2 linked regions of the Neurospora crassa OR74A genome follow. The main gene of each other region encodes a partner of the protein of the gene in region 2 in a complex. Links are inferred from orthologs where the notes say so. Each region holds a gene or a part of one and is shown on either strand. Other genes may lie near its edges.

Region 1 (3,737 bases), on a different chromosome or scaffold from region 2:
TACACATCGCGGAAATGGGCTGTCAGGATGGGCACCAAACGGGTGGTCAGGATGGTAGCGAGGTCGAGCTGCGCAAGGCGGTCCCGGACGGTCAAGATGGCGCCCCGTATTGCCTTGTCTACCTCATCCGTAAAGACAGGGTTCTTGCTGATGCTCGAATACCACACTTGTATGAAATCGCGGATGACGTAGCCCAGAACCTCGTCGAGAGCTGCCGAGACCTTGGGGGACTCGGGGTAGAGCGGTGCTTTGGTGGACGTCTGGCGTGCCCGAAGAGCGGCCACCTCCTTTGACCAAGAGCCTGGGGCAACGAAGGCCGCGCCATGGGGCCGTGGTGGTGGTCGGAGTCGGTGGTGATGCGATCCACGAGAGGTAAGCATGAGCAGGGCAAGCAGGCCGACGAGGGTAACGAGGACGCCGGCGGCAAAGGCATAGTTAGCCCAGCGGATGGCGGGGAACCAATGGACAGCATATCCCCAGGAAATGAAAGCAGCAATTGCAGCAAGGGCTATGTCTCTTCCTTGAAGAACCATTGCCATACTCCAGCGCAGACATTTGGCGCTTGTCGTCGCCGCATGGTTTTATCGCCAGTTCGATGTGGAAGTGGTTCGGTGTGAGGAGTGTCGCGGGTGAGGCAGGCGGGGGGGTTGGGCCATAGACATTCGTGGGCTGTTTAGTACCATACTCTAGACTAGAGCTCTGGCCTCTACTAGACACTAACACTAGCCGGCAAGTCCATTGCCGCCGCCATGCTAAACCGCGTTAGTGAGCCAGTGGTGCGATGCCATATGTCTGACCAAGAGGCCCGCGGGTTCTCCAGGGGTCCAGTCACTGAACGTCCGGTGGGCACCGTTACACCACCGTCGAGTTTCTGTATTTTACGCGCAAAGTTACATGTCATCTTGTCCGTAACCCGGGTGGGGGTCAGTTGGGGTCATTTACTGCAGAGACATGCCGCTTCACCATCACCATATCGTGAACACCGGACATATACCCCAGCATAGGGCGCCATATAGGAAGGCTTCCGCCTCAAGGTACTTGACTCTCGCAGTAACCCAATCAACGCGGGTATCACCAACATTGTGCATTTTGTCCACATCCATAGCCTCCCTTCCATGTCCCAGAACGCGCTCAAGCAGAAACATCCTCGGGCCACTGAGGATCCTCCAGCCTCCTGAAAAGAGCAACATGCTTCTGCCCATTATGCCTGGTCACCTTCTTTCCTTCCTCAGTCTCGTTGCGCATAATCTCGACTAGCGGATCAGCCTCCTGCTCCTCTACCGACACCCTTTCAAAGGCCGGGTGCGCGTTGAAGTGTCCAACCATCCACTCGTGCAGGTCAGGCACATCCGTGATGGTATACACAATGCCGCCGGGGCGCAGCACGTACGCGTACTCTGAGTTGAGCGTCGTGGAAACAATTCTCTGCTTGTGCTTGCGCGCCTTGAAGTGCGGATCCGGGAAGCAGATGAAGATCTTGTTCAGTTGGCCCTTGTTGAAAAAGTTGGGCATAAACTTCATCGTGTTGGCGCGCAGTACGGCAATGTTGCGGTACAGCTTTTGCTCCTCGTTTTGTACACGCAGGGCTTTGATTCTGTCTTCCACAAACTGTGTTACCGAGACACGAATCTCCAGGCCTGAGTTCACACAGTCAGTATCAGATCGACGAAGTGAAGGGTGTCAAACACTCTTACCTAGAACAAGAGTCTCGGGAAGTACGGGAGCCAGAGCTATGAGCAGACCACCAAAACCGCAGCCTATATCTGCAACCTCAACCTGCTTGGTCAACTTCCTGATGGCAGGAGCCGACAACTCTTGACCCGTGGATTCCTCAGACTCAGTTGTCTCGGTCTTTTGCTCAATCGGCTCTTCAACTGCGTAGTGAGGATAGAGAGAAGCCCAATCCATCTGCTCTGGCGTAGGGGGACTAGATGGTCGTTAATTCAAGAGCATGGAAACAATGATCTCTTCACATGGAAGCCATCTTACTAGATCAATGAGTGATCGGAGAAAGGGTTGGCATGAGCCCTCTGACGGTAGAACTTCTTGCGCGGCAGCTCAGTGACTCCATTGGCGCGGAGGGCGGCACGGTAATCCTCGCGCTTTTGACGCTTGTTCTTGGGTTCGGACATGATGGCTGCTGAATTGAATGGTTTTGTGGTCTAAAAAAAACTGAAGTCTGTCGGTTGTTGTGCAGTCAATAAGTCTGTTGGATCCAATAGGGAAACAAGTGAGACTGAGAGCGACTCCGAATCGACTCTCACAAAAGTTTCATCCCCGGTGTAGTGTAGGTAGCGAAGCAAATCTGGAAGCCAAGGTTCCCGTGTTGCTGCAAAAAAATACCCCAAGGGTGTTCCTGCAGGGGAAAAGCGGTACTCGTAAGATTCGAAAATCCTTAGCGTAGGTAACCTACGTGTAAACTATGCAATACCCACCGTTACAAACACGTCCCTCTGAAGCAATTGAAGGTTACAAGGATGAAGCTCCCGAAACTCGGGCCTGGATTCGGACGGCCGCCCCGCTATCGGCAGTCCAACATGGCGACACTTTTCCATTAAAATCTAGCACGGTAGGTACCCAAGAACCCCACGAGATTGCAGTATCAGTTATCAGTTGAGTCAGGGTCGTCAACTATTTCCATCTCAATCAAGCGGATCAAGAAGTGTACCTTACTTGATCATTCCCATCTCTCTTATACTGCGTAATCAAGATTACATAGACACAATGGCTTCAGCTCGTCAAGTCAACATTGCCATCATCGGTAGGCAATTACCTGTACCCCAATTGCGCCACATCAGCCCAGACCGTCCAACCCCGACGTCCCTCGCTGCTAACCTTGACCTTCCCATCTTCCAGGCGCCGGTGGAGTAGGAAAGTGCTTCCTCTCCCAGCTCGAGTCGCTGGCCGCTCGCCGCCAGAACCAGAAGCTGGTGCTCACCTACATTGCCACCAGCAAGAAGGCCGTCTACAGCGACTCATACTCGCCCATCGCCCTCGACAGCGTCGTCTCGACCCTCTCCTCCTCGTCGCAGGCTCCCCTTGCCCTCCCGAAGCTCGTCGACTACCTCGCCGCCTCGGGCACCAAGACGGTCCTCGTCGACAACACCAGCTCCCAGGACATCGCCGATGCCTACCCCAGCTTCCTTCGCCGCGGCATCAGCATCGTGACGCCTAACAAGAAGGCCTTCTCGGGCTCGTACAAGTTGTGGCAGGACATCTTCGCCGCCAAGGAGGAGGGTGGTTCTTTGCTGTACCATGAGGCCTCGTGCGGTGCCGGCCTGCCCGTCATCTCCACCATCAAGGACCTGGTTGAGACGGGCGACGAGGTGACCAAGATCGAGGGCGTCTTCAGCGGCACCATGTCCTTCCTGTTCAATTCGTTCGCTCCGACATCGGGCTCGGGCGGCGGCAAGTGGTCCGCCGAGGTGGCCAAGGCCAAGGAGCTGGGCTACACGGAGCCCGACCCGCGCGATGACCTCAACGGTCTCGATGTTGCGCGCAAGCTGACCATCCTCGCTCGCTACGCTGGCCTCGAGGTCGAGTCGCCCACGTCCTTCCCCGTGCAGAGCCTGATCCCCAAGCAGCTCGAGTCGGTCGCCAGCGGCGACGAGTTCCTCGCCCGCCTGCCCGAGTTCGATGCCGAGATGGAGGAGGTCAAGGCCGAGGCGCAGAAGGAGGGCAAGGTTGTCCGCTTCGTCGGCAGCATCGACGTGGCCAGCAAGCAGGTCAAGGTCGGG
Region 2 (4,213 bases):
CCATCATCCTCATCAGACTCCTCCTTCTCCTCCTCCTTCTCCTCGGCCTTGCCAGCGGCAGGGGCAGCCTCGGTGGAAGCGGCGGGAGCGGCGGAAGCATAAGCCTCGGGGTTGGCAATGCGATCCTTGAGCTCCTCGATCTCGGGCCAGCTGATCTCGGTCTCGATAGCGACGGCAAGAACCTTCTTGTAGGCGTTGACGACGGAGTGGATGACGGAGGGAAGAGTGGGGAAGTTGAGAGCGAGCGAGAGGCTGGCAATGGTGGTGATGGCAGTGGAGAAAGCCTTGAGGAGCTGCTCCTCAGAGATGTCAAGGACATCGGAGGGGAAGGTGTTGCCCTGGTCGTAGACCTGAGCGATGCCCATACCGTAGGTGAAGGGAGAGATGTTGAGCATGTTCAACAGGGTAGCCTCAGAGGGGCCGACCTTGGCGCCAGCCTCAACGAGCTTGAGATCGGTGGTGATTTCAATGGTACCACGGGCGATCTTGGTGGGGACACCGAGGGCCTGGAAGAAAGAGGTCTTGCCGGGTTCCATACCGGTGTTGCCAGCGGGGATCCAGACATCGGCAGGGGCGATGGCACCGGCACGAGCGGGGGCAGCGACCTTGTTGGCGAGGATCTTGTCACGGACCTCCTTGAGGTCGCCGTTGGTGAAGACGAAACCAACGTTGCCCTTGACGAAGGGGAGGAGACGCTCGTACTCGGGGGTGTCGGCGACGAAGGTCTTGAGGGCACGGCGAACCTGTAATGGGTGTTAATTTCTGGGCTTCCCGAAGCGCGACGCTCTTGCGACAACGGGCAACGTACCATGGTGTTCTTGCCCATCAAGACGACAGCCTCACCGCGGAGGGACTGTCTGATCTCGTGCATCTGCTGAGAGCTGACATTGTCGACGGAGACGATGAAGATGGACCGGTAATCCTCCAACAAGCCCTTCAGCTTGTCGAAGTAACCGGCCTTGTTAGCAGACTTGCCCCCCATATCTTCTTTTAGCACGAAGGCAGGATGTTTAAGGGCAAGAGGAGTTCTCTTGTTTAATTTGGTGGTGAAGTTGGAGTTGGTATGGTGACCGGAGGAGAGATTCTGGAAGCCGGACAAAATTTCGGGCGCGCGCAATTGACTTGGTTGATCCGTCTGTGGGAAGCGAGGGGTGAGTGTGGCCCGTGCGGCCGTTGGGGTGCTAGGGCTCGAGTGGGGTTGGCCAATCAGACGGTCAGAAACAAGCACCTCGACTGGAATGTTGTCTTGGCAGGTACCCCAGTACAAAATCGTCAAAATAGCGGCATCAGTTGAGCCTCACGGCACTGCAACGACGCTGCAGTGTATGGCTCGCCTGCTGTACAGCCACGTGTGGCTCAGTAAATAAGTCTGTTCGAGACTTTCTTCAAAGTTCACTCTCACTCATCAAGCATTGCAGTCACTACGTACTTACCATACCCGGAGTGAGGCTGCATCACAACTCCGAATATCAAGTTTGTAGACACCTTCCGCATGTAGCAATTGTCGTATACTAACGAATGCACTCACAGAATCACACTCGACGATCAAAGACGCAAGTGCACTCGATCTCACTTTGCCTGGCCTCAGCATTGAATTTCATATCTACCACCCATAGCCTCTAAGACCCACATCATCAAAATGGCCTTGCCATACCACGTCCTCAAAGTGTGCGACGGCATTGTTTTTGCAGCTCGCGGAAGCAACATTCACTCATTCGACTCCAACTTCAACCCCATCTCAGTATGGAAGTACCCCGTCAAGCAGCAAGAGACCAACGGAGAGAAGGCCGAGAGCGAGACCCCAGCTCCTGTCGTAGAAGCCGAAGAATCACCCGCTCCAGAAGGCCCCCCTGTCAAGAAGAGGAAAGTGGAAGATGGCGAGGTGGTAGCTGTCACGGAAGAGAACAAGGAGGAATCCAAGGAGGACACCACTGAAGGCCAAACTGAGACCAAGACTGAAAGCCAGACCCAAGAAGTGAACAGACGCAGCAGGCGGCAAAAGCAGAAGCAAAAGACCGAGGGCGGTTGGGCGAAGAACAACAAGGCTGTCCTCGAGAAGCCCTTCGTCCAGGGCATGTACCTCACCACCGACGGCCGTCATCTCGTTGCTATTACCGGGTCCGACAAGACCATCTGGGTGTTTGAACACGATGGTGCCGGAAACCTCAAGCAGCTGAGCCAAAGAGCCATGCCCAAGCGTCCTTGCGCCCTCGCCCTTACGCCCGACGATAAGACCATTCTCTCGGCCGACAAATTCGGCGACGTCTTTTCCCTCCCTCTTCTCTTTACGCCCGCCGAGCCAACGGCTGCAGCTGATGTTACCACCACTGCCTCCGAGGTCGCTACCCCCGAACCCACTCCCTCCGCCCCGGCCACTCCCGCTATCCCTACTCCTCCCACCACCGACGTCGCCAAGGCCCAATCCCTTTCTGTCAAGCCGCAAGCCAACGAGCTCACCGTGCACACGCTCCGTAACCTCAAGGCGCTGGAGAACCAGAAGCGCTGCCTGGAGCGCCAGAAGGCGGCCAAGCTCGCCGCCGCCCTGCAGGCCTCGCAATTCGAGCACACGCTCCAGCTGGGTCACGTCTCCATGCTCACCTCGGTGGCCGTGGCCGTGCACCCCAGCCACCCCGGCCGGACGTACATCATCACGGCCGACAGGGACGAGCACATCCGCGTGAGCCGGGGCATCCCGCAGGCACACGTAATCGAGGGCTTCCTTTTGGGCCACGACGAGTTTGTGAGTCGGGTGTGCATTCCCGAGGCGCGCAGGGACGTGTTGATCAGCGGCGGTGGTGATGACGATCTGTTTATGTGGGACTGGGTCAGCGGTAAGCTGCTGGGTAAGGCGCCGGTGTTGGCGGAGGTGAAGAAGGCGCTCCCGAGCGCTGAGGATGCGGAGAAGGTCACCAAGGTTGCGGTGACGAGGATTTTCGATGTTCAGCAGGGTGCAAAGACGCAGATCTTTGTGATTTGTGAACGGTACGTCAAGCTATTCATTTCTTTTTCCAATGTTGGGCAATGTGCATCGGCGGCTGACGGAAATGACAGCATCCCCCTTCTTCTGATTTTTACCCTCACCTCCACCAACACCTTACAACACACGCAAACTCTCTCGCTCCTCGGCAACCCGCTAGATGTCGAGTATCTCAAGGCCGAGTCTAAGCTCCTCGTGTCCATTGATCCCAATACCTCGTCCGAGACCCAGGAGGAAGAAGCCAGTAACGGCGGTGTGTCTTCTATCCTCGCTCTGTCATTTGATGATTCCGAGTCGAGCTGGAAGGTGACTATTGGTGGTCTGAAGGCCACGGAAGCGGCTGAAGAAGAAAGCAGCAGTTTGAGTCCCCAAGACTTGCAGAAGCTTTTGTATACCACAGAGAGCTTGAGGAAGACGAATAAAGATGACGAGTAAGTTGGAAGAAATCACCGGATAGATAAAATTGACTAGAGTATACTTCAAGCCTACTTCGTATGCGCTAGATTCCTCTCGCTTTGATCGCCCATTGGCATCTCTCTGCCCAACCCGACATACGTTTGATTTCGCACCTACCCGCTTTCGTCAAAGACCATCAGCGCCCTCCCTCCTCTTCTTTCGCTCAGCTCGTCTCACCTACCACCAACTTGCCAATGGTGATGATGTGCCGTATGACCAGGCCTCAAGGTATTCGGCCTGATTGGTTCCCAATGGTTCATCCACGGCAACGGCCCTCCTCCACCCATATCCCCCAGTCCTCCTGTTGTACCAGGCTGTCTTCCCGCGGCAGCCCATGGTCTCTCCATGCTAGGCAATGATCTGCCCCCCGCGTCCATCCTGCCCATTCCCAAACCCATACCGCTCATATAACCACCCATCCCAGGCGGCGGCCCTTGAAGCCCGGAACTCTGGTACTGAGTCTGGTAGAAATCCTCCTCCCTCCTTGCCGCCATCTCCACCAACACGGCGGTCACGATCTCCGGGTTCTGATGCAACCAGTCCCCGATCTCCTCGTCCGTTTCTTTTCGAGTCGTCATACCCTCCTCATCGCCATGCCCACTCCTGCGTCTCTTTCCATTTTCATTGATCCTTTCCCCATTCCCACCATGAACCCCATCTCTATTTCCACTTCCATATACATACCCGCTGCTCCTGCTTCTCCAAGGCTGCAGAAACCCCACCCTAGCAAACACCATTTTAAGTAGAGGATCGCTCTCCGGCAGGCCCTCCCATAGCCGC

Evidence for each region.
Region 1: the proteins of NCU07409 (region 2) and NCU03936 are in contact, whole or in part, in a crystal structure (PDB 2VDU), measured with the Saccharomyces cerevisiae proteins. The link is inferred for Neurospora crassa OR74A from reciprocal best matches to the Saccharomyces cerevisiae genes TRM82 and TRM8. Residues at the interface, in NP_010449.1 of Saccharomyces cerevisiae: Asp172, Glu189, Leu192, Gly193, His194, Val195, Ser196, Asp208, His210, Asp219, Glu220, His221, Lys223, His226, Gln229, Cys230, Phe231, Ile232, Val233, Asp234, Lys235, Trp236, Phe238, Gly239, Lys241; in NP_010080.1 of Saccharomyces cerevisiae: Tyr69, Val71, Ser72, Pro73, Met163, Lys164, Phe165, Pro167, Asn168, Lys172, Asn199, Thr200, Leu201, Ser203, Glu204, Tyr207, His235, Pro236, Leu237, Thr282, Pro283, Ile285, Leu286.

The regions. Positions count from the first base shown.
Region 1 is NC_026506.1:2,174,474-2,178,210, reverse strand, and holds NCU03936 (tRNA methyltransferase), read right to left. Parts: upstream 2,351-3,737; 5' UTR 2,133-2,350; coding exon 1,990-2,132; intron 1,928-1,989; coding exon 1,695-1,927; intron 1,638-1,694; coding exon 1,132-1,637; 3' UTR 673-1,131; downstream 1-672. Other genes in the region: NCU03937 (intermediate filament protein), read right to left, coding at 1-539; NCU03935 (homoserine dehydrogenase), read left to right, coding at 2,725-2,761, 2,857-3,737. UniProt on the Saccharomyces cerevisiae protein: Methyltransferase that catalyzes the formation of N(7)-methylguanine at position 46 (m7G46) in tRNA, a modification required to maintain stability of tRNAs; its absence resulting in tRNA decay.
Region 2 is NC_026501.1:6,036,529-6,040,741, reverse strand, and holds NCU07409 (hypothetical protein), read left to right. Parts: upstream 1-1,409; 5' UTR 1,410-1,473; intron 1,474-1,530; 5' UTR 1,531-1,639; coding exon 1,640-2,982; intron 2,983-3,051; coding exon 3,052-3,412; 3' UTR 3,413-3,513; downstream 3,514-4,213. Other genes in the region: po (60S ribosomal protein P0, variant), read right to left, coding at 1-743, 809-982; NCU07410 (hypothetical protein), read right to left, coding at 3,607-4,213. UniProt on the Saccharomyces cerevisiae protein: Required for the formation of N(7)-methylguanine at position 46 (m7G46) in tRNA, a modification required to maintain stability of tRNAs; its absence resulting in tRNA decay.